Coturnix japonica: one gene and its partners. The protein of the gene in region 1 binds, or shares a complex with, the protein of each later gene. Links are inferred from orthologs where the notes say so. Each region holds a gene or a part of one and is shown in the gene's direction. Other genes may lie near its edges.

Region 1 (4,003 bases):
TTTCCTGTGAACAGTGTGAGTACCGAACAGGGCTTTCTGCAGTTACAGTCAATGTCACCTGGACCACTACTATACCATATAATATAATGCAATATGATAATGGAAACGTTCTTGAAGATTGCTTCCCAGAACCGTGGTTAGGATACATCTCGGCAGTCTGGCAACTCTCCAGCTGACAGGAAGCTTATTTCTCCTGTAACCAAGTGTCTCAGATAGGGGAAGATGGTTCCCTCCGGGAGCACACAGTGGGCAGGTTGGCCTTGGAGCTGCAGCAGGTGCTGCTTTGGGAAAGGGGACTCTGGCAAAGCTGCTGAATCCTGCATGACTGGGAAAGTGATGCACTGCTCTTTCCCCTTATCTGCATGTAATAATTTCTGTACCTCTCTGTTGTTCATCTCTCAGCCTTTTCTCTGCTGCCCACACATTAGAAAGTTTTATTTTGACAAACAGTTGGGAGAGATTTAGTTTTTCTGCCCTTGCAAAGCTCATCCCATGAGCTCAACGATTGCTGTTTTCTCTGTGTTACACCTGAACATCTCTCAAACATTTACTTCCATTCTTTCATTAAGTTGTGGATCGGGCTACCCTCTGTAGGCTTATCTTGCTCCTGCGATGGGAATGATTTAACTGCGTGTAGCTGAGTTTCCTCCAGTTTTATGAATGCGAGGATTGGAGAGGCAGGCTGCTGCTTGTTTCTGGATGGACAGAGGTGCCCGAAGGGAGGGGAGTCCTTCGGGAGGGACGGGGCGGGAGCTGCTGGCTCGGACCGTGCCCGTTCCATTCCGGCGCTGTACTCCGAGTGGCGCGGAGTTCCAGCCCGCCGCTTCCTTCGGGCGCTCTGCCGCTCTTCCCAATTCCTTGCGAGCACTCCGTGTAGCGGCAGGTGGCCGCGGGCTCCCGGGACTCGCCCCCGCCGCCGTCCCGTCCCGGGAGCGGCCGGGGCGGGGCGTGTCGGTCATCGCGGCCGGTCGTTACGGTTATGTAAGGGCTCGGGGCCGCGGCCACCCGACGCGGGAGGGAAATTCCTGGGGGGGGGAAGCGGCTCCCGGGGGCCGGGCGGATGGCGGTGCCGGCCCGGCGGGAGGGCGGCGGGCGGGGCGGTGTCCCCGGGGGCGGCCCCTGCCAGGATCCGCCCGGCCGCGTGCCCCGCGCGGGCGCTGCCCCTTTAAGGGCCGCTCGCCGCCCGCTCCACAGGCAGGAGCGACCTCTGGGCTTTGACAGCTCCCCTAATAACTAGCAGCGCTACGGCCCCGCCCGCGGAGCACGATTGGGCGGCGGGCCGGCACGACCCGCGCCGATTGGCCGGGCGCTTCCCCTGAGCGAACCTTTAGAACTCCGAGACACAATATTCTGTTACATTGTAGCAAAATGGCGACTGTCATTCACAACCCCCTGAAAGCGTAAGTAGGGCTCAGACCCGCACACGCTCCGCGTGGTTCCGCTACGAGAACGGCCGCCCTCCCGCCTCGCCCGGCCCCGGCTCCCCGCCTCCTCGCGCGGCCCCGGCTCGGCGGCTCCGGGCGGGCGGCGCGTCCTGCGGCCCCGGTCGGGGCGCACCCGCACCTGGCGGCGTCCCGCGGGGTCCGGCGGCGGCCGGGGCGGGGCGGGCGGCGGGGAGCGACGAGCCGCGGGGTGCGGGGTGCGGCGCGGGGCAGCGGCGCCGTTTGCGCGGAAGGCTCCGAGCGGCGGGGAGTTGGTGCCGCTCGCGGCTCGGGAGCGGGCGCCGGGGGCGGGAGGGCGACTCGGCTGCCGCCGCCACCCGGGTCCCCGTCCTAAGAGGGACGCGGGATCGCTCGCCGTCCCCCCTGCTCTCCTCTGGCGTTTCCCTCGGGTTCCGGCGCGCGGCTAATCCCGGGGCATTAGGGAGAGCGCGACCCGGCGCCGCGTAACCTCCCGCGGGAGAGTTGTGCCTCCCGGGGCAGCGCTCCCGCGGACGGAGCGCAGCGCAGCGCGGACACCTGGCGGCGGCGCTTCCCCGCACTTCTCAGCAGCGCGGAACGGAGTCCGGAGCCGAAGTGAGGGCTGCGGGATGTGGCTCCGCTTTCTTTTCTTCTGTTTCTTTTTTTGTTGGTTTTTGACTCGCGTCCCTCCGGCTGGAGTTGGCAAACCGCTCGGAGGTGGTTCCGGGGACTCCTGCCGCCGTCTCTCCGCAGTCTGCGGGGAGGATGAGCCTCGGGCTGCGGAAAGGTGCTGACACGTTTGCCGGCTCTCCCGCTCCGTCCTGGCAGAAAACCTTCGCTTTCATTTCGCGTGCGCTCCGCAGCGCCCACACGGCCGCGGGCAGCGGCAGTGCAGGTGCCCCGCGCTCCTTTAAGGGGATCCCGGGGCTCAGCACCCGCCGCCGCCGCTCTCTGGACCCGCGCCGCCCGCAGCAACTTGTCGCGCTGATGCCCCGGGCGCTCCGTCCCGCTCGCAGTTCTCGCCCGGCTTCCGGAGCCGCTCTCAGCGGGCAGCGCTCCCCGGGAGCCCCGGGGGGTGGGGGAGAACGGGCCGCCCCGGCCCCGCCAGGCTGAGCCGGGAGGGCAGCGGAGCTCGGCTCCTCTCGCGCGGCGTGGGAGAGCGCGAACAATGGGCAGCTCGTCTCTCTGCCTGCACAAGTGCTGCGCTGCTGAGCGGGGGAAGCGGGACCGGCACGGACTGCCCGGCACCACCTGCGTTTTTATATCGAGAAGTTGTTTAATAAAACATTTTATAATTTCCACTCATTCTTTAAAGTTGCTGGTTGGGGAAACAATACGCACGTAAATAAATTATGCACGGGATAAATTAGGACAAAAGCGGTAGGACGCATAATAGGGGAAAGGACGTAGAGCACAACGTTTTATCCTCATGTGTCCTCCCTGACAATGAAAGGGAGCCGAATGACATTTGCATTTATCTGCGTTTTGATTGTATCTGAAAACCCACAAACGCCCCCTACAGAAACTGCCCGCACAAAGGTTTCGCTCCGAGCCGGGGACAATGTCGGGACCGAGACATCCCGGCTCAGGTGTCCGCAGCTCCGGCTGTGCCGCCCGTCTACGGTGCCCAGAGCTCAGTTTCTCTCCGGCACTTGGACACATGTGTGGCCTCGTTCGTGCTGCGCTGCTCTCGAAATAACGTGCTCCCGTGTACCTGAGCGTCCCTGGGAACGCGCTGCACGGAATAGCGCGGTGCGTGCAGTCCCCCGGCTGTGATGGGCGCTCCCACGTTCAGCTCGCCTCTCTCTCTGCCTCTTTTCTCACTTGCTGGTTCTCTTCGGGGGCTTTCATCCCTCTGCTCTTATCCCCCTCGCTGCCTCTGTCTGTCTGGTCAGCCCGACTCAATCGCCTGCTATTTTTGCCATCCAGCACCTTGCTCACCTACACGGTGCTCCGAGGCAAAAACGGCAGAGATGTGAGCGTAACAGATCTGCGAAGAAAGGGCAGCAGGTGTCTGGATAAACACAGAGTTCTTTGCCTGCAGAAAAGGCAGCACTCAGTGTGCTGATGGGCAGCAGTGGGCTAGAAATGCTGCATTCATTGTTGGGTACCTATCTCTATTTCTTCTTTCCATCTTTTCCTTTGGATATCTTAATGCGGAGATGTTCGAGTGGGGCAGCAGAAGGAACAAATGCAATGAAGTGGTATTCTGAATGACTTAAAGTGTCAGTCAGAAATCTCAGTGGGCTTTGTAAACATTAATTAATTAAACCTCTCATCACCCCTGTGAAGAAGGGATTATTGCCTTTGTTTTGTGGATGACTAAACTAGGACAAAGTGGTTAAGAAACTTTCTGAATTGAAGATCAAGTCTAAAGCACAGCAGTGCAGCTTCCAGCCTTAGCAGCCAGCCACATTTCCTCCACTCCTGCCTGACTAGAAATGTGCATACGGTACCATAATGTATTTAATGTAATTAAGATCTTGTAATTTACAGAGCTCGATCTAGAAGTGGAGCTGATTTCCTCCACCCTTTCTCAGTCTGTACTCCCACAGCTGACTTTTCTTTCAGATTGTCAGTTAAATGCACTCCCTGGAGCACTC
Region 2 (3,500 bases), on another chromosome or scaffold:
GCTCTGCAACTACTGCTGTTGAGGCATGAACGTGCTCATAAAAGACTTCCAGTCACGTAGGGTTTGCTTTCCATGCTATTACCTGGTGTATCTCCACGCTGTGGCGTGGTGTTTTGTTTCTTAGTCGAAAAATGATACCATTCTGTAGGGTTTTCTCTTGGTTTTGTTTTTATCTTCACAACAAAAGATGACAGCTCTGCCATGTCTCTAGGTTGGTAAGTGCTGAGGACTTTTACAAGACTGTTACTGTGATCCTGAACTACAGAGGGGAGCTTGTCCACCCGCTGCCTTGTAGTTAAACCTGGCTGGCATCCTGGTTGTGCACAGCCTGATCAAACCTGAGCTGTTTGATTCCAAGTCAGTAGAGAAGTACTTCCAACTCTTAGTTGAAACAAAATGAAGGAATTCTAGTCTCTTTAACTTGGTAGCAGTGTTTAGATTGTAAGCTCCTTGGGGCAGGGGCCATCTTGCTTGTGTTTGTCCAGTCCTAGTAATGAAGAAACTTGACGCCCTCAGGTATTGGTGCCAGGATCGTAGCTTATCTCATTTTTCATTGGAAATACCTGAAATCTCTGTACAAATTCTAGAGTAGGCAAATTTTAAGAGTGACCTGAAAGTAAACAATTCAAAGGGAAAATATTTCAGAGAAAGTGAAAACAGTGATGCAGTCCTGCTACCAGTAGTCTGGCTGCAGCACTCTGTATCATCCCAGTGCAGGGATGGATCAAAGAACGCAAAGGCATAAGTTATTTGGAAACTGGCTCATGGCATAACTGGAATAAAGAAAGAGAAGAAATGGAAATAAAAGACATAGATAAAACTCCAAAGAACTATTGAGAATATTTTAAGTCAACTCTTCTTTATTTGATCTGAGTTCATTTGATAAATGCCTCGTTCTGAAGTTTGACTTCAAATGACAAAAATAAAGCGTTCTTAAGACCTCTCAAGCAGTAAAAAGCAGCTAAAAACCCAACGCCATTTGGGCTGAATGATTGTGGAAGGAGTTCTGATATGTAAAACTTAAAAGCTGAGGGAATCTGGTGGTGTCTCAGTCAGGTAGTTCAGAAATGAAGTCTGTATAACTGAGTTTGAGTAACACCTATTTCTGTCAGGTCTGAAATTGTCCAGTGGTGCAATCAAACAATATTGGTCACCTTTCAGATTGAGTACAATGAGTCCATGAAGGCCTACCACAACTCTCCTGCGTACCTTGCCTACATCAATGCAAAAAGTCGTGCTGAGGCTGCGTTAGAAGAAGAAAGCCGACAACGGCAGTCACGCATGGAGAAGGGTGAACCTTACATGAGCATACAGCCAGCAGAAGATCCAGACGGTAAGCAGAAAACAGCCTGTGTGTGTGTGCAGGGAGACAGTCTCACCACAGGGCCTGTGGCATAAGCACACGCCAGACAGAGAAATTACTTCTGTGTAGCCTTCCTGGTGCTGAGTGTGACTTCCTTTTATTTCAGTACCTTCACTACTTTTATTTTGTATAGCTAACAGCTCCCAAAACCTAAGGTGGCAATGCAGTGATAAATCTACCAGCCCTTAATTGTGTATGAAGTGATACGGACAGTTCAAAAGAAATTCGTCTGCTTAAAGCTCTGTAGTGGCTCTAACAAATCAATTACCAAACGATGAGCCGCTTCCTTTAATCCAGCTTGAATGGAATCCTGCACTTCATGACCAGAAGAAGCACGTCGTTCTGATAAGCTGAATTCTGGCATGATTAGGAGCACCTGAACTTCAAAGGTTCAACAAAAGTCAATTGAGATTGTTTAGAACAGAGTTATCCTCACTGTTGACAAGTTGATGAGAAAATTCTGAAAGTTTATTTGACTGCAAGGAAATGCACCCCACCCAGCAGGGAAAATCCAGATTTGTGCAGTTAAAGTCTGCTTTGAAATTGGTGACCCCGTACGTACTTGTTGAAACCTGAGGGTGAGAAAATCTGCTCAGTTACACCCTGAGATAAAGCCTGTGGCAACAGCGCCTTCCCATGTGAGGTAACTGCAGAACTGATGTCAACATGTTCAGTGCTCCAAGCAGCTGACATTGTGGGGCTTTCATTTCTGATCCACACTATGTGGGCCAGAATTAATGCAGGCAGAGCCAGCTGTGCCAGCACCAGGATGGATCCACTCATATTTGGGATGAATTGCTCAAATATTTTAGGATGAACTTTGTGACACAAGAAAGCAGTGTTGGGCTTTGGTTTGTTTGTAGTCAGTGCTGATGTTGGTGCAGCCTCATTAGCCCCAGTGCTTGCTTTGGGGAATGAGTGCCTTTGTGCTTCCAACTCCTGTTTCAGATTACGACGATGGGTTTTCGATGAAGCACACAGCTACAGCCCGCTTCCAAAGAAACCATCGCCTCATCAGTGAGATCCTGAGCGAAAGTGTGGTTCCTGACGTCCGCTCTGTTGTCACCACAGCCAGAATGCAAGTTCTTAAACGCCAGGTTCAGTCTTTAATGGTTCACCAGGTAAAGATAAATGATGGGAGGGCAGCACGCCGAGTTGCGCGTCCTTTGATCATCCCTGTGCTGTTCTTGTTGGGTGTCTGTGCTTTGTGCGCTCCAACTGCTGATCTTGGGAGTGCCAAGATGTGAGATTTCATTTCCCATGGCCTTTTTTACTGAGAGTTACCTTAAGCTGAACTTTTCCTTGTTACACACAACCCTTTTAGAGGGTATATTGGTAGATTCGGTTGCTTATGACTGCAGTCTTGTAGCAGTTCTTTACCGCACAGACCCCATTTATTGTTCAGCCTTTTTTCCTTCTTGGTGTATGTTGGGTATTGGATCAAGGAAACATTTTGGTGTAAGGGTTTAAAACATGTCTGTGTTTAAATGTTGGTTTGAATATTGTTGTCCATTTCTTCAGAAGTAAAGCAGCTTCATTTATGACATTTATTAATTTTGTTACATTTATTACATTTCCAGCGTAAACTGGAAGCTGAGCTGCTGCAAATTGAAGAGCGTCACCAGGAGAAGAAGAGGAAGTTCTTGGAAAGCACAGATTCCTTTAACAATGAGCTCAAAAGGGTACGAGTCTCCTTCCCCACTTACTCTGAGCAATCTACTGGTTCCCTGCTCATACTGATTCTCTGCCCACTTCCATTTAGTTCCGTATTGTCTGTGATGAGATGACTGCAGTGTCCCAGGTCTGGTGGAGCGTTTGAGTTGCTTCTTCTGTAGTTTCTGAAGCTTTTAATGTAAACTTATTCAAATCACAATATTTATTGTGCACGTATTGCTGCATGTTGAGATACCGAGTAATAATTGAGTTTTCTTGGTGCTTTGTCTTTTCACAATGTAACTGGGTAATAAAAGAGCTTTTTTCTAATTGCTAGCTGTGCAGTTTGAAGGTGGAAGTGGATATGGAAAAAATCGCAGCTGAAATTGCTCAGGCTGAGGAACAGGCACGCAAGAGGCAGGAGGAAAGGGAAAAGGAAGCAGCTGAGCAAGCTGAGCGCAGTCAGAATAACACAGCAGCTGAG
Region 3 (3,500 bases), on another chromosome or scaffold:
GGCCTTATCACTCAGCATGTTTGTGCTCCTCTTTCATTTTTGTTTTCTTCCTCTCTCCTGTTCCCCTGCATTAGCAGGGGTGAGGGCACGGCGCACAGCACAAAGTGTGCTCTCAGCACTTCAGAGCTGTAGAGTCCCAGGGGACACAGCTGTTCCAGGGTAGCTGAGGCTCATTTTAGTAGCATCTTTAAGGGTTGTGAGCCTGTTTACCAGGGAGTCACCCTTCTGGAGCATAACTGTCCTAATGGAAAACAGAGCAGGCAACAGCGGAGGGTTCTGGAATCCCATTGTATGGGGAAAGGACTCTCATCCCATATGGATGTATGTGATTTGCTGTCCTTGTAGACTCTGTAACTTGTTGATGTTGGCTTATGTGTAATTTCAGCCTGCTCTGTCAAAATTAACTTTTCAGTGCTTTATCAGCGATAGAGGTCACACTGCACGGTTCAGCATTACCCACTGTGTGTGGCCCCAGGGGATGTAAAAGCCTTAGAGGGCAGTGGTCAGAGAAGAGCTCTTGGTGTTGAAGATACTTTCCATATATTGCGTCTTATTCACCCTCAAAAAGCAAAACTGTTTACAGAACATCCTCTGAAGCGGGCTGGGGATTGCCTTGTGGGCACTCAGCATGGGTTTGCTGCAGACTGTCTTGGGTTCCCGCTTGCAAACTGTAGCACGTGCCTGGGGAGCCATAATCAGCCTACTGTTGGTTTTAATTCCCAGAGCATGGAACTGGCCTGGCTCCAACTGTGTGTAAATTTGTGAGTGGGAGGGACAGCAGGGGGTGGGGACAAACACCAAATGGCAGCCACGTGGGGAATGTCTCAAGGCCTCTTCATGCCGCTGCCAGCATTTGTAAGCACATAGACGAACTGCAAATTCCTGGGGAAGCAAGTGGAACCAAACTGCTGCTGAGAAGGGAAGGAGAGCTGCAGGAAGGGTTCATGAATGAAACTCCCTGCTGAGCTGTCTCTGCCCTTCCTTCTGCCGAGAGCTCCCTGGGCTGGGAGGGAGTCACAGAGAGAAGGACAGGATGCCAGGAAGGTGGGGTGTAAACAAACATGCCCTGGACGTGACCTCGGAGGATTTTAATGAATAGCTGAAATGACTCATCAACCAGCAGGGTTGAAGCTGAGGGATATCGGGTGCTGGGGATGGTAACTAATGGAAACGTTAATTAAGAGTTCAGCTTCTGCCAGCTGCGAAGAGCATATAAACCTGAGAGCTGACACTGTCACAGTGATCCAGGGGCAGACTTTCACAGATCGCAGCACAGCTGGATCACACCTGATGGCCTTGTATTTTTTTGATGAAGGCTTAGTGTGGTGTAAAACAACTTGTGCAGAGTCAGGGAACTTGCTGGACAGGTTTTGTTGTTCTGTGAAAGATCCTGCATCTCTGGCATTCCTTGTTCCAGGAATTCTTGGGAGTGGTGCCTGAATTCACCTGTGTGAATTAACCCCACTTGAAGGGCAGAGAAGACAGTGGAGCCTTGTTCAGAGTTACCCAGTGACTGCAGAAAAAGTCCCAGAGTTGCCATCAGTTGGAAAGATTGTAAAGCTTCTGGGAGACAGTTTAAACCCTTCTGGGCAGAATTAGGATGTGAGGACAGTGTGTCAGAGGTTGTCATTTGGCAGAAAGAAATGTATTCCCTACCGCGTGGTCCACTGTGGAGCACTGACCTCTAGGACTGGATAGCTTGGGCAGCTCAACAGGGTGCTATAGTGGTTGGTACCATGTGTAGAAAGGAAGGTGGTTAAGTTGTAATAAAAATGAACACTTCCTTTCAGCTTCACCTTACTCTACAGGGTTCTTCTGGGGAGTCTGGTCCAGTATGTGCTTGGAGGCATTGCACTCCTTGTACTGTTTTGTCTGTATTTCACCCATCTCTTTGTTCAGAGACTGATCACTGTCTGTTATAGAGGCTGGTGCTTCGGGAGGTTCTGGGTTACATCTGTAGGATGCAAAGCTGCTCACGCCACAGTTGTGTTCTTGCAGCGGGTTCAGGCTCGATGCAGGGGCCTCAGACACCTCAGTCCACCAGCAGCTCTATGGCAGAAGGAGGAGACCTGAAGCCTCCAACTCCAGCATCTACACCACACAGTCAGATGCCTCCTTTGCCAGGCATCAGGTATGTAAATGTTGCACTCTCTTCCACCATACTGGATGTAAGTTGTGATTGTGAGGTTGCCAGAAGTTGTTCCCACAGCTGGCTGGAGACTTTAAGTACCTGTTTTGATAGACTCTTGGCTTTGCTACTTTGTTAGTAGCTCACAGTGACCCTGTTGACCCTGTGTCTCTGTGTGTGAATAACCACTGCTTTTGGGATTTGGTAAGGATAGTATTGTAGAAGGGTAGTTCTTGCCTCCTTTGGAGAAGCATGGTTCTGGCCCTTCTAGGAGGTAGCAATATCTGAGAGGGAATATGTGGGGTGAAGAATCTTGAGGAGCACTGCGGGCCTCTAAAAATCTGTGGGGTTGTTTTGTTTTTAAATCAGGAGTAACTCAGTGGGCCTTCAAGATACCTTTACAGATGGCAGTGATCCCACGTTCCAGAAGCGGAACTCCATGACTCCGAATCCAGGGTACCAGCCCAGCATGAATACCTCCGACATGATGGGTCGCATGTCTTATGAGCCAAATAAGGATCCTTATGGTAGTATGAGGAAAGGTGAGAAAGTCTGTACGTACTCCTCTCCCTTTTCTCCAGGAGCACTGTCAGTGTATCTGGATGAATGCTGGAATGTGCTGTGCTGTAGGAGACATGCTTGTCCTTCTTTCACAAAAGAAGGGATGTTTCTTTTTAATGCAGAGATAGATGTGTTTACTGATCCTTCTTTCCTTCTTTTAGCTCCAGGAAGTGATCCCTTCATGTCCTCAGGGCAGGGCCCCAACAGTGGTATGGGTGACCCTTACAATCGTGCTGCAGGTCCAGGGATGGGTAACATGGCCATGGGACAGCGGCCACAGTATCCCTATGGTGGTCCTTACGACAGAGTGAGGTGGGTGCTCTAGCCACACTGATTTTCCAGACTTGCTTGTTTCAACTGAGCTGATTGCTTTGACTTGTTCAATCGCTGCTTTTTGCTTTTCATTTGAGCATTGAGGGAATGTCACAGAATTTGTCACTTATTTCCATGTAGGACGGAGCCAGGCATGGGACCAGAGGGCAACTTAGCAGCTGGAACTCCACAGCCAAACATCATGCCTTCCACTTCGGAATCAGGGATGTACTCTCCCAGCCGCTACCCTCAGCAGCAGCAGCAGCAGCAAAGGTTTGTGTGGGGCGTTGCCACAGAGAGCTCTTTCCAGTTGAGAGAAGTACTGTGATAAAGAAATGTATCTGATGGAAAAGTGATGCTTGTGTTTCTTCTCCAGACATGATTCCTATGGCAATCAGTTCTCCACTCAAGGCACATCCTCTGGCAGCCCCTTCCCTAGCCAGCAAACTACCATGTATCAACAGCAACAGCAGGTAGGTTATCAGAAAGTATCAGAACA
Region 4 (4,042 bases), on another chromosome or scaffold:
CACTGCACAGAGCCTGGCCAGCAGGGTGATGGAGGGAGGTGCACCTCCCCTCTGCTCTGCCCTGGGGAGGCCACAACTGGAGCACTGGGCTCAGTGCTGGGCTCCCCAGTTCCAGGCAGACAGGGAACTGCTGCTGGAGAGAGACCATTTCTCAGCTCAGCCCTTCCTTATTTCTATATCCCTCCCAGCCACTTCCTAACTCTGTCCAAAGGCTCCTGCCGGGCTTTAAGCCTCACTTGAAGTTGCTGCATCTGAACAATACGGAGCAGATAAGTTCCACCGCTTCTCCTCACCATGAATATTTCATCAGGCAGCCAGGCGCCAAGGCTGTGTTGGAGGTGGCATTACATTAACTGCACGGACACACGGATGCTGAGACAACAGCTAATGGCTGTGCTCACGGCATCGTGTTTTCTATCGAGGTCAAGAAACACTGAATTTGGTGGAAAAGATGCCAACAACTCCCCACTTTTCTCCTCAGTCAACAATGCCATGCACTGTACAGGACAGCTTCCTAAATGGCCTGTGATTATCATTAATTGCTTAATTAATACTTGCGGTGTGGCTGCTCTCTTGGATTTTATTCATGGATTAATGCAGGCTGGATGCAGGTCCCTCTGCTCTATGAGCAACCACACGGATGAGTGCCCTGGGGACAAGGAAAGTAATGCTAATACTTGCAAAAAGCGGCCTTTAATTCAGCGCTGTGCCTTCTACTGAGGGAGGGAGGAATCCTCCTCCAAGCATCCCCAGCCCTAAGCAAAGCAGCCCCAAACACGAGCACAGAGCACCTGTAAGAACAGGGGACCCCCACCCCAACTCAGTCACAGCATCGAGGCTTAATGAGCACCATCCTCCAGCACCTTGCACCCTCAAAACACTTTCCTATGGTCCATGCATGTCCCCAGGACGCAGCCCCTTCCCACACATCCCCCCCTGCAAATACCCCATCCCATCCATGGTCTCTGAAACCCCCAAACCCAACACCATCCCATAGCCCTCTCCAAGTCCTCTACCCCCACCCACAGCCCTCCCCACGCTCTACACCCCCCACCCCCACCCCAGAACCTTGCCATACTCCCCCAGGCCCCTATTCCCCCACAGTAGTGAACCTTAAACCCACCCACGACCCCCTCCCCACCCACTACTTCCCACCCCCCGCAGTTCCTCCCGCCGGCAGGGGGCGCTCTCTGCAGCCGTTGCCGCTCTAGGCCGCTGTCCGCGCTCTCTCTATGTCAGAGCTCCGGTTCCGGCCCGCTCCTCTTTGTGCTGGACAAGATGGCGGCGCGGGCGGGCTTCCAGTCAGTGACTCCCAGCGGTGGAGGCGGCGGGGCCGCTACCGGGACCGGAGCGCTGGGTCCGGGCACACCAGGCGGACCGGTGCGCATGGGCCCAGCCCCGGGACAGGGCTTGTACCGCTCACCTCTACCAGGGGCCGCCTACCCGGTGAGGCAGGGGAGGGGCCGCTGCGGGGCGGGGCGGGAGGGAGTGGGGGCGGCGGGGCCGAGGACGGGGCCGGCTTCCCCCCGGGTGGGCATTGGAACGGCTTTTTTCTTCCCCTTGCAGCGCCCTGGGATGTTACCGGGCAGCCGTTTGGCACCGCAAGGCCCCTCTATGGGGCCGCCCGGGTACGGTGGGAGCCCGGCAGTGAGGCCCGGTATGGCGCAGGCCGGCCTGGATCAGGCCCGTAAGAGACCAGCGCCGCAGCAACTGCAGCAGGTTCAGCCTCAGGCGGTGCCCAACCGCAACCACAAGTAAGAACCGGGGGTGCTGGGGGGCTCAGGGAATAGACGGTGCGGGGGGGGGGGGGGGGGATCAGGGCATCCTTGGCCATCCTTAGAGCTGTGAGTGGGGGGAGGAGCTCGGGTCATTCATAGGATAACTATGGGGTAGAAAGGCTCTGGGGACATCGTTGGGTGTCCTCTTGGCAACAGGGGGGTTCTCAGGGCAATGGGTGTCCAAAGGATGCTGCCAGGGCAGTGGGAGGCTTAGGATATCCTTGGGTATCCTTGAAATAGGAAGGGTTCCTGGAGCAGATGAGGGTCCCAGATCTTCCCTGTGCTCCTCCAGGGCAGGGGAGGGAACAGTGAAGGTCTCAAAATGTCCCTTGGGCATCCTCAGAGCAGCAGGGGTCCTGAGGACATCCCTGGGATGGCAGATGAGTCTTGGGCATATCCTTGGGCATTCCTATGGCAACAGGGTTCCTCAGGACACCCCGAGGGCAAAGAGGAGTCTCAGGGCATCCTTGGGTCCAAGGGGTCTTCGAGGTATCTCTGTGCATCACCAGAGCATTGAGGGTGCTCAGGGCATCCCCAGGTGGACGTGGACACATTGCTTCTCTCCTCATGAAGCCCCATGGGACGAGATCTGTGTATCAGGGTGAGGGCAGGCATCACTGAGCTGCAGGCTCTCTCTGAAGGGGTCAGCACTGACTTGGTGTCATCTGCTGGCTGCTCAGAGCAGCACAAAGCTTTTCTGTGTGCAGAGCCAGGCCTGGGCCTCTCATTGCTGCTTTTTTTTTGTTGGGTGGCTGAAAGAAACTTTGATGTTCTCGTGCAGCTTCGTCTCTGGTAGAGGGGAATTTCCAGCAGATAAAAAAGTAATGTGCAACTGCTGGACAAGAGCAAGTTAATGTTCAGTTTCTGATAGTACAATGTGATGCCTTGGTAACGTTGGTAATGCATCTCTGAGTCTCCTAGAAAAGTCTGTCTAAAGCACATTGAGCCATAAGGCTTCCTTTCCAATGATGCAGCCTTGCTTTCATTGCTTTCCTTGGGGATGTATTAAGGCGATCAGCTGCTGCAGGGCTGAGAGCATTGCTGATGCCCTGGTCCTAAAACACAAACCTCATCTCGCTCCTTTTGTGAACGTCCAGTGTTAATTAGCAGAATGGTTGCCATTTTAATGCTCTCCTTACTTTACAGTGCTAAAAAGAAGAAGATGGCAGACAAAATTCTACCTCAGAGGGTGAGTGGCATGTGCAGTTGACAGCCTCTGCTGATATGGAGATGTGGGGGAACTGACAGTGATTTGCATTCTTGATTGGCTCGTGTTCTGCTTGTAGATCCGTGAACTTGTGCCTGAGTCTCAAGCTTATATGGACCTGCTGGCCTTTGAAAGGAAATTGGACCAGACGATCATGAGGAAACGCTTGGATATCCAGGAGGCTTTGAAACGACCCATTAAGGTAGGAGAGGGACATTCAGAGACTTACTGTTATCAGAAGAGTAGGAGGGCTTTGAAGGTTGTGTCATAACCCTATAAGCATAGAGAGAACTGTAATGCCCAGGACTTAAGTGGGGGGGTAGAACCAAGACTGCCTCTCTCTGTGCTGTTTGTCCTGAGAGTGGATGTATGAGGAAAAGAAGAATATTTAGCTTAGTTTTAACAAAACATAAGCATGATTCTCATCCCTTTGCTTCTGAATGAATACTGAGCTGATGCTTTTTCTTGTAGCAAAAGCGAAAGCTACGTATTTTTATCTCCAATACCTTCAATCCAGCCAAGTCGGATGCAGAGGATGGTGAAGGAACAGTGGCCTCCTGGGAGCTTCGAGTAGAAGGAAGGCTGCTAGAAGATGTGAGTGTAAGGCACCCAACTGCAGAGCTGATTTGATGGGTCTGGAATTGGAAATTGAACCAGTTTCTTAGTGTCTGGGAGTGTAGCTAAGGGCTTGATATCCTCCTTCATCTCTGTTTTCCAAGGAGTCTGATGGTGACGAGACCGAGAGCCCAACTCGGAGACCGATGGGTATCCCCATGGCAGAACATGAGTTATACAAAGTTCTTATAGCTATAAGAATTAATGGTGAGAGCCGATCAGTAGCACTTGTGTACCCTGGCTCTTAGAACCAGGGCACTCGCATTTTATGTAATTGCTGAGTAAGTTAATTCCTCCAAGCTCATCTTTATCTCCAGTCTTTCACCATTTTTGACTTGGAACTTGATTTTCGAGCATGTGTTGATGAATGTAAGTGTTCACAACTTAAAGGAACACTGCTGTGCACCTTGCCTGTGCTTGAGTCCTGGAACTTGCTCTCCTG
Region 5 (4,191 bases), on another chromosome or scaffold:
TTTGTGCTGAGGAGGGGGCTGGGACCGAGGCCTGGGGTGGATGCTGCCAATGGCCGGGCTCTGCTCACAGCTGGATGAAACGATTCCATGTCCCCCCCCCTTCCCCCCAAGTCCCCCTTATAACCGCTGCATCCACCCCAGCCCACCCCCCATTTGCCCCCTGCAGCTCCATATCCCCACTTGGTGTCTTCAGAGGGGGCAGAGGAGGCACAGCTGCACCCCGGGTACTGCTGGGCTGCTGCCCCATGGACTTCCAGCCCCATGGACTTCCAGCCCCATGGGCTTCCAGCCCCACGGATGCTCACGCTGTGCCTGCAGCCCCCCCGGCTGCCTCCCTTGTGCTCTCTGCCCTATGCTGCCTGTGTCTGTCCCAGGGGGCCAGGCCTGGCCTCCCTCTCCCCATTTAACCCTAAAGGCAGAGCTGGGCATTTATGGGCGAGGGGGAGCCAATGAGGGGGGGGGGTGGGGGGAGCAGGGAGGGGGTCTGGCACCACCCTGGGGGGCAATAGGAGCCCCCTCTGCCCCACTGCTGTTCCTCTGCAGCCACTCGTGCTCGTGGTTCTGTATTATTTTGTACTACTCAGCCTTCCCCCACCCCTCCATTCTTACCCCCCCCCTCCATTCTCCTCCCCCCCCCTTTGATTTTGGAGTGCCACCGATGGCTTCATACCCCCCCTTACCCCCCCCCATTCACCCTATGGGACTTTAATTTATTCTCATTCGTTACGTTGGTTTTTTTTACGGTCCTCCCCCCCCCTTCCCCCTATTTTCCGCTGTCTGTACGATGCGGTTCCGGGTCTCCCCCCCCCTTGTTGGTGGGGGGGGGGGGGGGGGGGGCGTTCAGCGATCAATAAAAACGGCTGTTCTGGTTTCTGTAGCGAAGCTGTGGCTGCTCTAGGAGGGGTCGGGGGGGGGGTCACACTAAAAGGGGCCGAGCCTTTCTGAACTGCTCCGTGTTATACAGAGTCCCACATTAAAAAGGGACCCCCCCCCCATTAAAAGATAAAGCTCCGTCACGGACAGGATTCGAACCTGCGCAGGGAAACCCTATTGGATTTCGAGTCCAACGCCTTCACCTCTCGGCCACCGTGACTTCAGCGCCTCCCTCATCCGCGCTCCGCCTAGACCCGGCACACCGCCCCCATCCATCGGGTCCTCCGTGCCGCCAGGGGGCGCTGTGTTCACTCATCTCCATTCGGCCTGCAGGGGGCGCTGTGCACACTCACCCCTGTTCTGCCCGCAGGGGGCGCCGTCCTGCAGTACCCTTCATTACCGGCAGGGGGCGCCGTCCCGCAGTTCCCTTCATTACCGGCAGGGGGCGCCGTCCCGCAGTACCCTTCATTACCGGCAGGGGGCGCCGTCCTGCAGTACCCCTCGTTACCGGCAGGGGGCGCTGCGTCACGTCACGGCGGGGAGCGGCCCGGCCCGCTGGAAGATGGCGGTGCGGAAGAAGGACGGCGGCCCCAACGTCAAATATTACGAGGCCTCGGACACCGTCAGTCAATTCGACAACGTCCGCCTTTGGTTGGGCAAGAACTACAAGAAGGTACGGATCGTTCGGGATCCCTCATAGGCCTCACGGCTCCGCTTTACACGGAGCCAGGCCCGAGGCTGAGCCCCCTCCCGCAGTACATCCAGGCCGAGCCCCCCACCAACAAATCGCTGTCGAGTCTCGTGGTTCAACTGCTGCAGTTCCAGGAGGAAGTGTTCGGGAAGCACGTCAGCAACGCGCCGCTCACCAAACTGCCGGTGCGTGACTGGGCCGGGCGGACAAAGGGACCCGCAAACCCCGCAACCCCCCCCAGGGACACCCCAGGACCTGCACGACCCGGCCCCGTAATGCCCTGGGTTGGGGGGGACACATGGGACCCCCCCCCCTCCCTTTGGAGGGGTCTTTGTAAGACCCCCCCGGCCCCAAATGGCCCAGCTGGGGTGGAGGGGACACATGGGGACCCTCCCCCTTCCCAACCCCCCCACCCCCTTTGGAGGGGTCTTTGCAAGACCCGAGGCACCCCCGGACCCGCAAGGCCCGGCCCCGTAATGCCCTGGGTTGGGGGGGACACATGGGACCCTCCCCTTTCCCAACCCCCCCACCCCCTTTGGAGGGGTCTTCCCCACCCCCATCCCTTTGGGGAGGTCTTTGCGAGACCCCCCCGGTTCCAAATGGCCCAGCTGGGGGGGGGGGGGGACACATGGGGACCCCCCCCCTTCCCAACCCCCCCACCCCCTTTGGAGGGGTCTTTGCGAGACCCCCCCGGCCCCAAATGTGGGATGACACGTGGGGACCCTCCTCTTCCCCCCCCCCCTCCTTTAGGAGGGTCTTTGTGAGACCCCCCCGGACCCGCAGGGCCCGGCCCCGTAATGCCCTGGGTTGGGGGGGACACGTGGGACCCCCCCCCCCCTTTGGAGGGGTCTTTGTGAGACCCCCCCGGCCCTGCAATGCCTTGGTGTTGGGGGGGACACATAGGGACCCTCCTCTTCCCCACCCCCGTTCCTTTGGGGTTGTCTTTGCGAGACCCCCCTGGCCCCAAATGGCCCAGCTGGGTGGGGAGGACATAGGGACCCTCCCCCTTCCCACCCCCATCCCTTTGAGGGGGTCTCTGTGAGACCCCCCAGGCCCCAAATGTGGGATGACACATAGGGACCCTCCTCTTCCCCCCCCCCCCTCCTATAGGGGGGTCTTTGTGAGACCCCCCCGGTCCCATAATACCTTGGTGTTGGGGGAGATACATGGGACCCTCCCCTTCCCCCCCCCCCCCCCTATAGGGGGGTCTTTGTGAGACCCCCCCGGTCCCATAATACCTTGGTGTTGGGGGAGATACATGGGACCCTCCCCTTCCCCACCCCCCACCCCCTTTGGAGGGGTCTTCCCCACCCCCATCCCTTTGGGGAGGTCTTTACGAGACCCCCCCGGCCCCGCAATGCCTTGGTGTTGGGGGGGACACATGGGGACACCCCCCACCCCCCACCCCGTTTGGAGGGGTCTTTGCAAGACCCGAGACACCCCCGGACCCGCAATGCCCTGGGTTGGGGGGGACACATGGGAACCCACCCCCCCACCCCCCTTTGGGGAGGTCTTTGCGAGACCCCCCCGGCCCCAAATGGCCCAGCTGGGGGGGGGGCACATGGGGACCCTCCCCTTTCCCAACCCCCCAACCCCCTTTGGAGGGGTCTTTGAAAGACCTGAGACACCCCCGGACCCGCACGGCCCGGCCCCGTAATGCCCTGGGTTGGGGGGGACACATGGGACCCTCCCCCTTCCCAACCCCCCACCCCCTTTGGAAGGGTCTTTGCGAGACCCCCCCGGCCCTTGGTGTGGGGGAACACATGGGGACCCACCCCCCCACCCCCCTTTGGGGAGGTCTTTGCGAGACCCCTCCAGCCCCAAATGGCCCAGCTGGGGGGGACACACATAGGGACCCTCTTCTTCCCCCCCCCCCCTCCTTTAGGGGGGTCTTTGTGAGACCCCCCCGGTCCTGCAATGCCTTGGTGGGGGGGGGACACATGGGACCCTCCCCCTTCCCACCCCCCACCCCCTTTGGAGGGGTCTTTGCGAGAGCCCCCCAGGCCCCACACGGCCCAGCTGGGAGGGATGGACACATGGGGACCCTCCTCTTCCCCACTCCCATCCCTTTGGGGGGCTCTTTGGGGCTGGGGTTGGGCGGGGGGGTTGTTGGGGTGGTCGCCCCCATGGCATGGAGCAGGGACAGCAATGGGGACAATAGGGAGAAGGGATGAGTCCCAGTGCTGCCCGCTGTGGGGCATTGCCTGCTATGTATGGGGTATTGCCTGCTGTGGGGCACTGCCCGCTGTGGGGTATTGCCCGCTGTGGGGCAGCCCCCCCCCCGAGTCCTCCCATCCCCTTTTCCAGATCAAATGCTTCCTGGATTTCAAGGCGGGGGGAGCCCTGTGCCACATCTTGGCGGCTGCTTATAAGTTCAAGAGCGACCAAGGATGGTGAGCGGCATCATAGGGAGGATGGGATGGAATTAAGGGTGGTGGTGGGGTTGGGAGGGGGGAGGCAGAGATTTGTCTGCTCTATGGGGCACAATGGGGGCGGTTACAGCCCTGGGTTGGGCAGTGTGTTGGCTGCCCATCTGTGGGTCACAGCCCCATACACAGATCCCTGTTGGGGTGTCCCCCCACCCCCCTTTAATGGGTAAAATGGGGCTGAGTGATGAGGAGACCTGA
Region 6 (3,944 bases), on another chromosome or scaffold:
CAAAATATTGCCCAAATGTAGGCAAAGGCCCCTCGGCTGCCCTGACCTCCGCCGGGCCGGGCCCTGCCTGACTCAGCTCCTTACTCAGCTCTCGTTTCCTCCCTCCGGCTGCTGCTGCCGCTGCAGCTCACACCCTAACGAAGCACGGCCCTTGATGGGCTCTGCGATGCACCCAGCAGTCCAAGGGCTGGCCGGGAGGTTTGCACCGCTACTTGCTGACATGAGCGCTGAACTTGGCCCTGGGTAGCGCTGCAGGCCGGGAGGGGTGGGTGCAAACAATGCACCTGGTGCCCCATCCCCTCCCTTGCAGCACCAGGCCGATGGTGTGATTGCAGCTCGGTGCATGCACGCGCCGTGATACGTTCCTTGCTGCTGTAGCAGCCTAGTGCACGCACAGCCCTCGCTGTTATTGCAGCTCTGCGCACACACTCATTGTATCACTCCATCCCACAGCATGATGCACTCGCACTGGAGCTATCGCTGCTGGGTGCACACACTCATTGTATCGCTGCAGCTCAGTGCATGCACGCAGGCTGCTGTTATTGCTGCTGGGTGCACGCACATCAGTGTGGCTGCAGCTCAGTGCATGCACAGCCGGTGCGCATCGCTCCCACTGCTCCCATCGCTCCCATAGCTCCTATTGCTCCCATTGCTCCTACTGCTCCCATTGCTCCCATAGCACCCATAGATCCCATATAGCACCCATAGATCCCATACAGCTCCCATAGATCCCATATAGCACCCATAGATCCCATAGCTCCCATAGCTCCCGTAGCTCCCATCGCTATGGCCGCCTGTCCCCGGGAGGTGACTTCAAGGGGACCGCAGGACCACCGGGATGGGGGCAGGGCTGCATCCCCTCCCCAACAAAGCACTATGGAATCAAAGCATTATGGAATCAAAGCACTATGGAATCAAAAGGGGGTGGGGGTGGAAGGGAGCGTCACACCCCGCCGCTCAGCCTCACCTGGAGCTGAGCCCCACGCTCCCCTCTCCCCTTTCATCCCCCCAATTTCCTATTTATTTATTTCTTAATTATTTTGTGCAGCGATGGGGGCGGGCGGGGCGAGGCGGGAGAGGTGCGGCCACAGCCAATCAGAAGGGCGCGCTCCGAAAGTTTCCTTTTATGGCGAGGCGGCGGCGGCGGCGGCCCTATAAAAGGCGGAGCGGGCGGCGGGCGGGAGTCGCTTTGCGCTGCCTTCGCCCCGCGCCCCGCTCCGCATCCAGCCGCCTCGTGCCGCCCGACCCGGCTCCGACTGACCGCGGTACAAACACAGGTGAGCGGCCGGACCGCAACGCTGCGACAGCAGAGCTCCATTGTGCCATACGGGGGAGCACCGAGGGGCTGCGGGGGGGCGCTGTGTATTGGGGAGGGGGCGTGAGTCGGGGTGTGTGTGTGTGTTAACGGAGCCGGTGCTGCCCGGTGCCGCGGGGCGGTTCGGCGCTTTGTGCTGCGATGAGCGGGGCGGGGGGCGAGGGAACAAAGGCGGAGTGAGGGGTGGGGGGGGGTCGGGTTGTGACCCCCATGTGCAGCTTTAACCCCCCCCATGTGCAGCTGTACCCCCATGTGCAGCCCCCCCCCCCCAATCCTTGTTACAGATCGCGGGCTGTGCTGGCTGCGGGGCTGTGCTGGGTGCGGGGCCGTTGGGGGCTCGGGGCGGTGCCGGTGGTTGGGGGCGGCTGGTGGGCGGGGCTGGCTGCCCCTATAGCGCCGGCGGCTGTCGAGGCGCGGCTCGGAGCTGCCATTGCCTTTTATGGTCATGGTTGGAGGGCGCAGGGACTTCCTTTGTCCCAAATCTGTGCCGAGCCCAAATCCGGGAGGTGCCGCCTGACCCCCTCTAGCGGGCGAGGGGCGAAGCGGAGCCGGCAGGAAGGAAATGGGTGGGAGGAGGAGGGCCGTGCTGCCGCGCTGCCGCCCCGCGATCCATCCCCAGCGTTGGGGGGATCTATAGGGGGCGAGGCGGGGCGGGGTCCGGCTTCTAGTGCGTGACCGGCAGCGCTTCTATCTCACTGCCTCCTCTCTTCCTTCGCAGCCAGCCATGGATGATGATATTGCTGCGCTCGTTGTTGACAATGGCTCCGGTATGTGCAAGGCCGGTTTTGCCGGGGACGATGCCCCCCGTGCCGTGTTCCCATCCATCGTGGGTCGCCCCAGACATCAGGTACGGCAATGGCTGGAGTGATGCATCCAGACAATGGAGAGGAGTGTTCGGTGGGAGTGGTTGTGCTGAGGGCGTGGAGCCTCCAGAAGCCCTTTTACTTTCATGTGTGACATAAGAGGTTTCTACTCTGCAACAGTAACTGGTTGAATACACAGCATCCTGCCGAGCAACCCGTGTTGAGCCAATGGCTCCAGTCCTTAACCTGGCAGAGTAGGGGCAGTAGGGGGTTAGTGATTAAAGGTGTGGCTTCTGCGGGGGGGGGAAATAAAACCTTTATTCATCCATTGGATTTTGTCCTAGAGTTAAACTTAAAGCTTTTTCTTTGTTGTGCAGGGTGTGATGGTTGGTATGGGTCAGAAAGACAGCTATGTAGGTGATGAAGCGCAGAGCAAGAGAGGTATCCTGACCTTGAAATACCCCATTGAACATGGCATAATTACCAACTGGGATGATATGGAGAAGATCTGGCACCACACTTTCTACAATGAGCTCCGTGTTGCCCCTGAGGAGCACCCTGTGCTGCTCACAGAGGCTCCCCTGAACCCCAAAGCCAACAGAGAGAAGATGACACAGGTGTGTAAAACCCTTTGAGCCTGGAGCTACAGCAGGCGCTGCTGCAGGCCAGCTCTCCTCTTCCATGTTGTCCTCTATCCGCCTTCACCACTTCTCCCTTTTTGCCATCTTTACAGGGTTTTCCTTTCCTGACCTGAGTCTCCTCTTTGCTGGACCTTGACAGGTTTTGTTTGCTCTAAGCTGGCTTTCTCTGAGACTGAACTAGCAACTTGTCTAACTGCTGTTTCTGACTAGACACTAATCCATTTACCAGCCTTGAATGACTATACTGTAGTTCCTTGGCCTTTGTTTCGTTCCTTGCTGTGTCATGTGGATGGGCCTGTGGTAGCAGTGTCCTTGCTCAGGCTCTAACCTGGCAGGTGTGGGTGGAGACCAAGCGAGATAAGCACTGATATCTCCTTCTAGAGGAGCAAAGAAGCCTCTTTATCTAGGGACAAATGTAAAACCACATGCATGGACTGATGTAGGCATGCAGTGAGAACCTTGGTTTATTCTGCTTGACTCAGTGCTTTCTTATCTCTCTAGATTATGTTTGAGACCTTCAATGTCCCAGCCATGTATGTAGCAATTCAGGCTGTGCTGTCCCTGTATGCCTCTGGTCGCACCACTGGTATTGTGATGGACTCTGGTGATGGTGTTACCCACACTGTGCCCATCTATGAAGGCTATGCCCTCCCCCATGCCATCCTGCGTCTGGATCTGGCTGGCCGTGACCTGACGGACTACCTCATGAAGATCCTGACAGAGAGAGGCTACAGCTTCACCACCACAGCCGAGAGAGAAATTGTGCGTGACATCAAGGAGAAGCTGTGCTACGTCGCACTGGATTTCGAGCAGGAGATGGCCACAGCTGCCTCTAGCTCTTCCCTGGAGAAGAGCTATGAACTCCCTGATGGTCAACTCATCACCATTGGCAATGAGAGGTTCAGGTGCCCTGAGGCCCTCTTCCAGCCATCTTTCTTGGGTAAGTCTGACTCCTTTTAGGAGATTCCGTGCCCCTTCTGCCTAGAGTGACTTAGAGACTAGTCAGCTGCCATTGTACTGCTGGCCCTTAGCAGGTCTGTCCCATTCCACTTCAGTCTTTGTCTTCCTCAGCCTGAGGATGATAGAGGTACCTAGGTCAGAACCAGGAGGCTGAGCCTGTAAGCCATGGCTTTGCTTGTGTTGCTTCCCACTATGGGGTCTTTGTTTCTCTTCCCATAGCAGTAG
Region 7 (4,155 bases), on another chromosome or scaffold:
CACACACAAGTATGCATCAAAACACATGGACATACCCTGACACGCATGCACATGCATGTACACACTTACATACATGCTCACACATGTCCACATGCAGGCACATTTACACACATGTACACATGTGTGCATACACATAGAGACACGTGCATGTGTGTGCATACATGTGCACATATAGGCACATGCAAACATGTGAATACACATGTGCACACATACACATAAGGACATGCCTGCACATGGAGGTACATACATACACACAGAGGTACATACATGAGGTGTACACATGAAGATCCATATACACCCACACACACATGTATGAACATACATGCAATCATATGCACATATAATCACATGCACTAACAGCTACACACGTGTACACACATGCTAACACATGTACCCATGCACATCCATGCACACATGCAGATGTGTTTACACCACCCACACACATACACACATACATGCACACACATGTACACACGTACGTACATGTACTCAGGAAAACACATATGAACACACATGTACACTATTATGAACACGTGCACACATGTACACATACACACACATGCATGCAGAGTGGGCACGCATATGCACACACGTGTGCACACATATGCACATATCAGATGCATACACGGCCCTAAACATGCAAACACACACATGCTGGCAGAGATATGTGCACACAATCACACACATGTGCACACATACAGCCAATGGGGGCGGGGCCTCACAAGTGGGCGGGGCTTTGTTTAAGGGGCGTGGCCACACAGAGGGGGCGTGGCTTAGTGAAGGGGCGTGGCTTAGTGAAGTGGTGTGGCTTATTGGAGGGGGCGTGGCTTAGTGGCGGCTTTTGAGGGGGTGTGGCTTGGCAGAGGGGGCGTGGCTTTGCTCTGGGGGCGTGGCTTAGCGGAGGGGCGTGGATTATTGGAAGGGGCGTGGCTTATTGAAGGGGGCGTGGCTTATGGAAGGGGCGTGGCTTATTGGAGTTAGCTTGGCTTAGTGGATGGGCGTGGTTTATTGGGGGGCGTGGCTTTGCTCTGGGGGCGTGGCTTAGTGGAAGGGGCGTGGTTTTATCGGAGGGGGCGTGGCTTAGTGAACGGGGTGTGGCTTATCGGAGGCGTGGCTTTTGCTTTGGGGCGTGGCTTATTGGGTGGGGCGTGGCTTAGTGAAGGGTGTGGCTTTAGTGGAGGGCGTGGCTTATAGGATAGGGCGTGAACGGGTGTGGCTTATCGGGGCGTGGGTTATCGGGGGGCGTGGCTTTTTTCTCTGAGGGCGTGGTTTAGCGGAGGGGCGTGGCTTAATGTGGGAGTGGGCGTGGCTTAATGTGGGAGTGGGCGTGGCTTATCGTGGGAGTGGGCGTGGCTTATCGGGGGTGGGGGGCGTGGCTTCTCACGCCGCGCGCTCCCTCCGCTCCGGGCGCCGCCGCTTCCGAGTAAACAGCGCCGGGCCGCCCCCCCAGCTTTAGGCCCGGCCCGGTTCGGTTCTGCCCGGTCCAGCACCGCCATGGCCGCCCGTGGAGCTTTCCCTCTCAGCCCTCTGCCTCCCTCCGGCTCCGCCGCTCCTCCTCCTCCAGGGCCCGGACCCGGTATGATGAGAGGCCCCAACCCGACTCCGGCCTCCGGGGCCGCTCCGGGATATCGTCCGATGGGGCCTTCGGGAGCGCAGTACCAGGTGAGGGCGGGCGGGGGGCGGCTCTGTGCTCTGTATTGGGGATGGGAGGTGGGAGGTGGGATTGGGGGGTTACTTAGAGGCCTCCAAAGGGGCCGTGGGGGTTCAGAGGCCTTTTGGGCCCGGAGGAAGCGGCGCTGCTTCCTGAACGTGGGGCCCTGGCGGTGGGGGGGGAGCGGGGCTCCATAGGGGCGGCTGTCCTGGCCCCCCACCCCCATTAAAAAGTTAACGGAGAAGTGTTCTGCCCTATGGAGGTGGTCCCGTACCCCCCCAGGCTGTGCTGTGGGGGTCCTGGCCCAGGAGGGTCCATCACAGCCATCCTTGTGCATTTCCAGCTCCGGAGATGGAGCTGTGATGGTGAACGTTAAAGGGAAGGAATGGGGATAAAGGGGAGTAAATGTGACCCGCTGCAGTGCTGGAAGCTGTGGACTCTGCTCTCTTTCTGCTGCCTTTTCTGCTGTTGGTTCAGCCCCCACGTGTTGTGGGGTTGTTTATGGAGAAGCCTCGTTCTGCGATGAGTTCTGAGTTCCAAACCGAAGAAATCCAGTCATCCACATGGGGGGAATTTCCAACTGCTGTATCAAAGGAGGAGAAACAACCCGTGAAGCTGAAAAACCCCGAAGTGAAAACTGAGATGAGCTCAGCCAGGCCAATAGGGCCCTGCATTGGCTGTAATGTGACTCAGAGCTATAGGGAGGCTTCATCCCGACCTTCCCAGGTTGCAGAACCCAGCGGGCATCGCTCTGTTGTGGGTAAACAGGGGCACATATGTTTGCTTTCACCCCCCCCCCTTATCCCATGCTGGCCATAATACTGCACTCATGGCAGGTGTTGGGAGCGTATGGATGGGGTAGGGTGAGACTGGGAGCATATGGCAGTGCTGCAGTGTTTGGGTAATGCAAGTCGTTGTTGTCGTGTCTGGCCGGCAGTTTGCTGGCACAGGGAGGGGATTGGGGGCTGATCGATCCGGTCTGTCTTTTGTTTTGCAATTTGCAGGCCTGTTTAAAGCAGCTCCTCCCCACCAAGTGGTCAAAACTGCGGTGCCCGCAGGACTTCTCAGGGGGTAACCAGTGAGTCAGGCTCCTTCTGCTGCATTATGCTGGCTAGGAGAACACAGCAGCCCTCATGTATGGCAGCGGGTGCTTAGGGGCTCTTTAATCAGTGGATTATTAAATGTATGTTAATCCTTTGACATCCCTTGCCTGCCTGGCTATGCACCAGCAGCTCAAGAAGGGAAATGGGGAGGACAACTCACTCTAGCACTGATGTTTCCAGAGCAGAAAGGAGTGGGAGTGTGTTCATGCAATGGGCGATCAGCTGCACGGTGGTGTGTCCACCCCCATCCCAAGGCTCAGGTTAGCATAAATCCATCAGGAGTTCCCTCTGTTTGTTGTAATGGAGGTTTCAGGCTTGGGAGATCCTTCCCGAGTTATCAGGTTGATGCTGTGGTAGGGAATGGGCTCAGCTCTGTGATGCAGTGGAGGAGGGGCTGTGCAGAATGGCCTTGAGGTTGCCCTGTGCTGTCGCTTTGCTGGCGTAGATCAGTGGCAAAAAAAAGAAGAAGTGGAGTTAATGAAGTGCCCCGTTAAAAGCATTTCATTGGCACTTGCTGACAAGCAGGAATCCCATTTCCGTGGGACGGAAGGGCTGTTGCAAGCCAAACAACTGCTAACAAAGTGATATTGGAGGAAGCGTGGCTGTGCATGGAAGGAGTTGGAGCTTTCTGCTTCCAAACAGACCTGCTGGATCCCATTAGGAGAGGAGAGCTGGGTGCTTGTCCCATGGTTGGCCTGGGGACGGCAGCAAGGCTGGAAGTGCAGCACACAGCAGGGATCTGCAGCTTGCATTGCTGCATGACCCACCCTTCCCAGTGGGGGACTGTTTCCAAGGCAGGTTTCATCAGAGGCTGAGCATCCAGCAGAATGAAGCCGTGACACAAAGCAGAGCAATGCTGTGCTCTCAGTGCTGGATAGAAGCAGGCAGCAGCAGAGCTCAGGGCACCCTTTGTTTCTCCTTAAGGCTCATGGAGGTTCTGCTCGGTGGGAGCATCTCCAAAGCTTCCTGCTGGAGGCCTTTGCTCTGTCTTCCTCCATAGGGACCCTCAGAGCCTTTCCCTGCACATCTGAGCAGTGTTTTCCACTCTTCCCATTGCTTCCCCCTTTGTATTACTTGAGGCTGCCACGTTTTCAAGCAGGAACCCAACACCTTTCTTCCTTGTTCCTGCTTGTGTTTAAGGCATAAATCCCCTGAGTTCTTTCTCTGCCTGCTGCAGCCTCTGTTCCTTAGGTTGCTCTTTGTTTTACACCTCCTTCCCCCTCTTACCCTGTGCTCTCCATGGCCATCAGCACGAGGTGAAAGTCCCAGGCTGTAACTCGTGCATCCCTTCTGTTCTCTTGCCAAGTCCCTGCGGTGTGGAAGCTGCTGAGAAAACTTCACTTAATGTGGCCTTTCCCCTTCAGTGTCAGCATGGCTGCTGGGTCCTGGTGTGAGCGCTGC

Evidence for each region.
Region 2: DPF3 (region 1) and SMARCE1 share a complex: the UniProt entries of both Homo sapiens proteins name them as parts of the BAF complex. The link is inferred for Coturnix japonica from reciprocal best matches to the Homo sapiens genes DPF3 and SMARCE1.
Region 3: DPF3 (region 1) and ARID1A share a complex: the UniProt entries of both Homo sapiens proteins name them as parts of the neuron-specific chromatin remodeling complex. The link is inferred for Coturnix japonica from reciprocal best matches to the Homo sapiens genes DPF3 and ARID1A.
Region 4: DPF3 (region 1) and SMARCD1 share a complex: the UniProt entries of both Homo sapiens proteins name them as parts of the BAF complex. The link is inferred for Coturnix japonica from reciprocal best matches to the Homo sapiens genes DPF3 and SMARCD1.
Region 5: DPF3 (region 1) and SMARCC2 share a complex: the UniProt entries of both Homo sapiens proteins name them as parts of the BAF complex. The link is inferred for Coturnix japonica from reciprocal best matches to the Homo sapiens genes DPF3 and SMARCC2.
Region 6: DPF3 (region 1) and ACTB share a complex: the UniProt entries of both Homo sapiens proteins name them as parts of the BAF complex. The link is inferred for Coturnix japonica from reciprocal best matches to the Homo sapiens genes DPF3 and ACTB.
Region 7: DPF3 (region 1) and SMARCD2 share a complex: the UniProt entries of both Homo sapiens proteins name them as parts of the BAF complex. The link is inferred for Coturnix japonica from reciprocal best matches to the Homo sapiens genes DPF3 and SMARCD2.

What each region holds. Positions count from the first base shown.
Region 1 is NC_029520.1:23,752,220-23,756,222, forward strand, and holds the start of DPF3 (zinc finger protein DPF3), read left to right. Parts: upstream 1-1,203; 5' UTR 1,204-1,368; coding exon 1,369-1,400; intron 1,401-4,003. UniProt on the Homo sapiens protein: Belongs to the neuron-specific chromatin remodeling complex (nBAF complex).
Region 2 is NC_029542.1:4,150,377-4,153,876, reverse strand, and holds part of SMARCE1 (SWI/SNF-related matrix-associated actin-dependent regulator of chromatin subfamily E member 1), read left to right. Parts: intron 1-1,161; coding exon 1,162-1,333; intron 1,334-2,311; coding exon 2,312-2,484; intron 2,485-2,943; coding exon 2,944-3,045; intron 3,046-3,353; coding exon 3,354-3,500. UniProt on the Homo sapiens protein: Involved in transcriptional activation and repression of select genes by chromatin remodeling (alteration of DNA-nucleosome topology).
Region 3 is NC_029538.1:53,095-56,594, reverse strand, and holds part of ARID1A (AT-rich interactive domain-containing protein 1A), read left to right. Parts: intron 1-1,998; coding exon 1,999-2,131; intron 2,132-2,497; coding exon 2,498-2,670; intron 2,671-2,850; coding exon 2,851-3,001; intron 3,002-3,142; coding exon 3,143-3,274; intron 3,275-3,377; coding exon 3,378-3,474; intron 3,475-3,500. UniProt on the Homo sapiens protein: Involved in transcriptional activation and repression of select genes by chromatin remodeling (alteration of DNA-nucleosome topology).
Region 4 is NC_029544.1:347,990-352,031, reverse strand, and holds the start of SMARCD1 (SWI/SNF-related matrix-associated actin-dependent regulator of chromatin subfamily D member 1), read left to right. Parts: upstream 1-1,242; 5' UTR 1,243-1,278; coding exon 1,279-1,446; intron 1,447-1,566; coding exon 1,567-1,754; intron 1,755-2,924; coding exon 2,925-2,967; intron 2,968-3,064; coding exon 3,065-3,187; intron 3,188-3,456; coding exon 3,457-3,585; intron 3,586-4,042. UniProt on the Homo sapiens protein: Involved in transcriptional activation and repression of select genes by chromatin remodeling (alteration of DNA-nucleosome topology).
Region 5 is NC_029544.1:895,855-900,045, reverse strand, and holds the start of SMARCC2 (SWI/SNF complex subunit SMARCC2), read left to right. Parts: upstream 1-1,391; 5' UTR 1,392-1,435; coding exon 1,436-1,546; intron 1,547-1,629; coding exon 1,630-1,749; intron 1,750-3,865; exon of another isoform or gene 3,866-3,871; coding exon 3,872-3,957; intron 3,958-4,191. UniProt on the Homo sapiens protein: Involved in transcriptional activation and repression of select genes by chromatin remodeling (alteration of DNA-nucleosome topology).
Region 6 is NC_029529.1:4,232,029-4,235,972, reverse strand, and holds the start of ACTB (actin, cytoplasmic 1), read left to right. Parts: upstream 1-1,144; 5' UTR 1,145-1,277; intron 1,278-2,033; 5' UTR 2,034-2,039; coding exon 2,040-2,162; intron 2,163-2,495; coding exon 2,496-2,735; intron 2,736-3,260; coding exon 3,261-3,699; intron 3,700-3,944. UniProt on the Homo sapiens protein: Actin is a highly conserved protein that polymerizes to produce filaments that form cross-linked networks in the cytoplasm of cells.
Region 7 is NC_029542.1:1,260,750-1,264,904, reverse strand, and holds the start of SMARCD2 (SWI/SNF-related matrix-associated actin-dependent regulator of chromatin subfamily D member 2), read left to right. Parts: upstream 1-1,355; 5' UTR 1,356-1,494; coding exon 1,495-1,662; intron 1,663-4,155. UniProt on the Homo sapiens protein: Involved in transcriptional activation and repression of select genes by chromatin remodeling (alteration of DNA-nucleosome topology).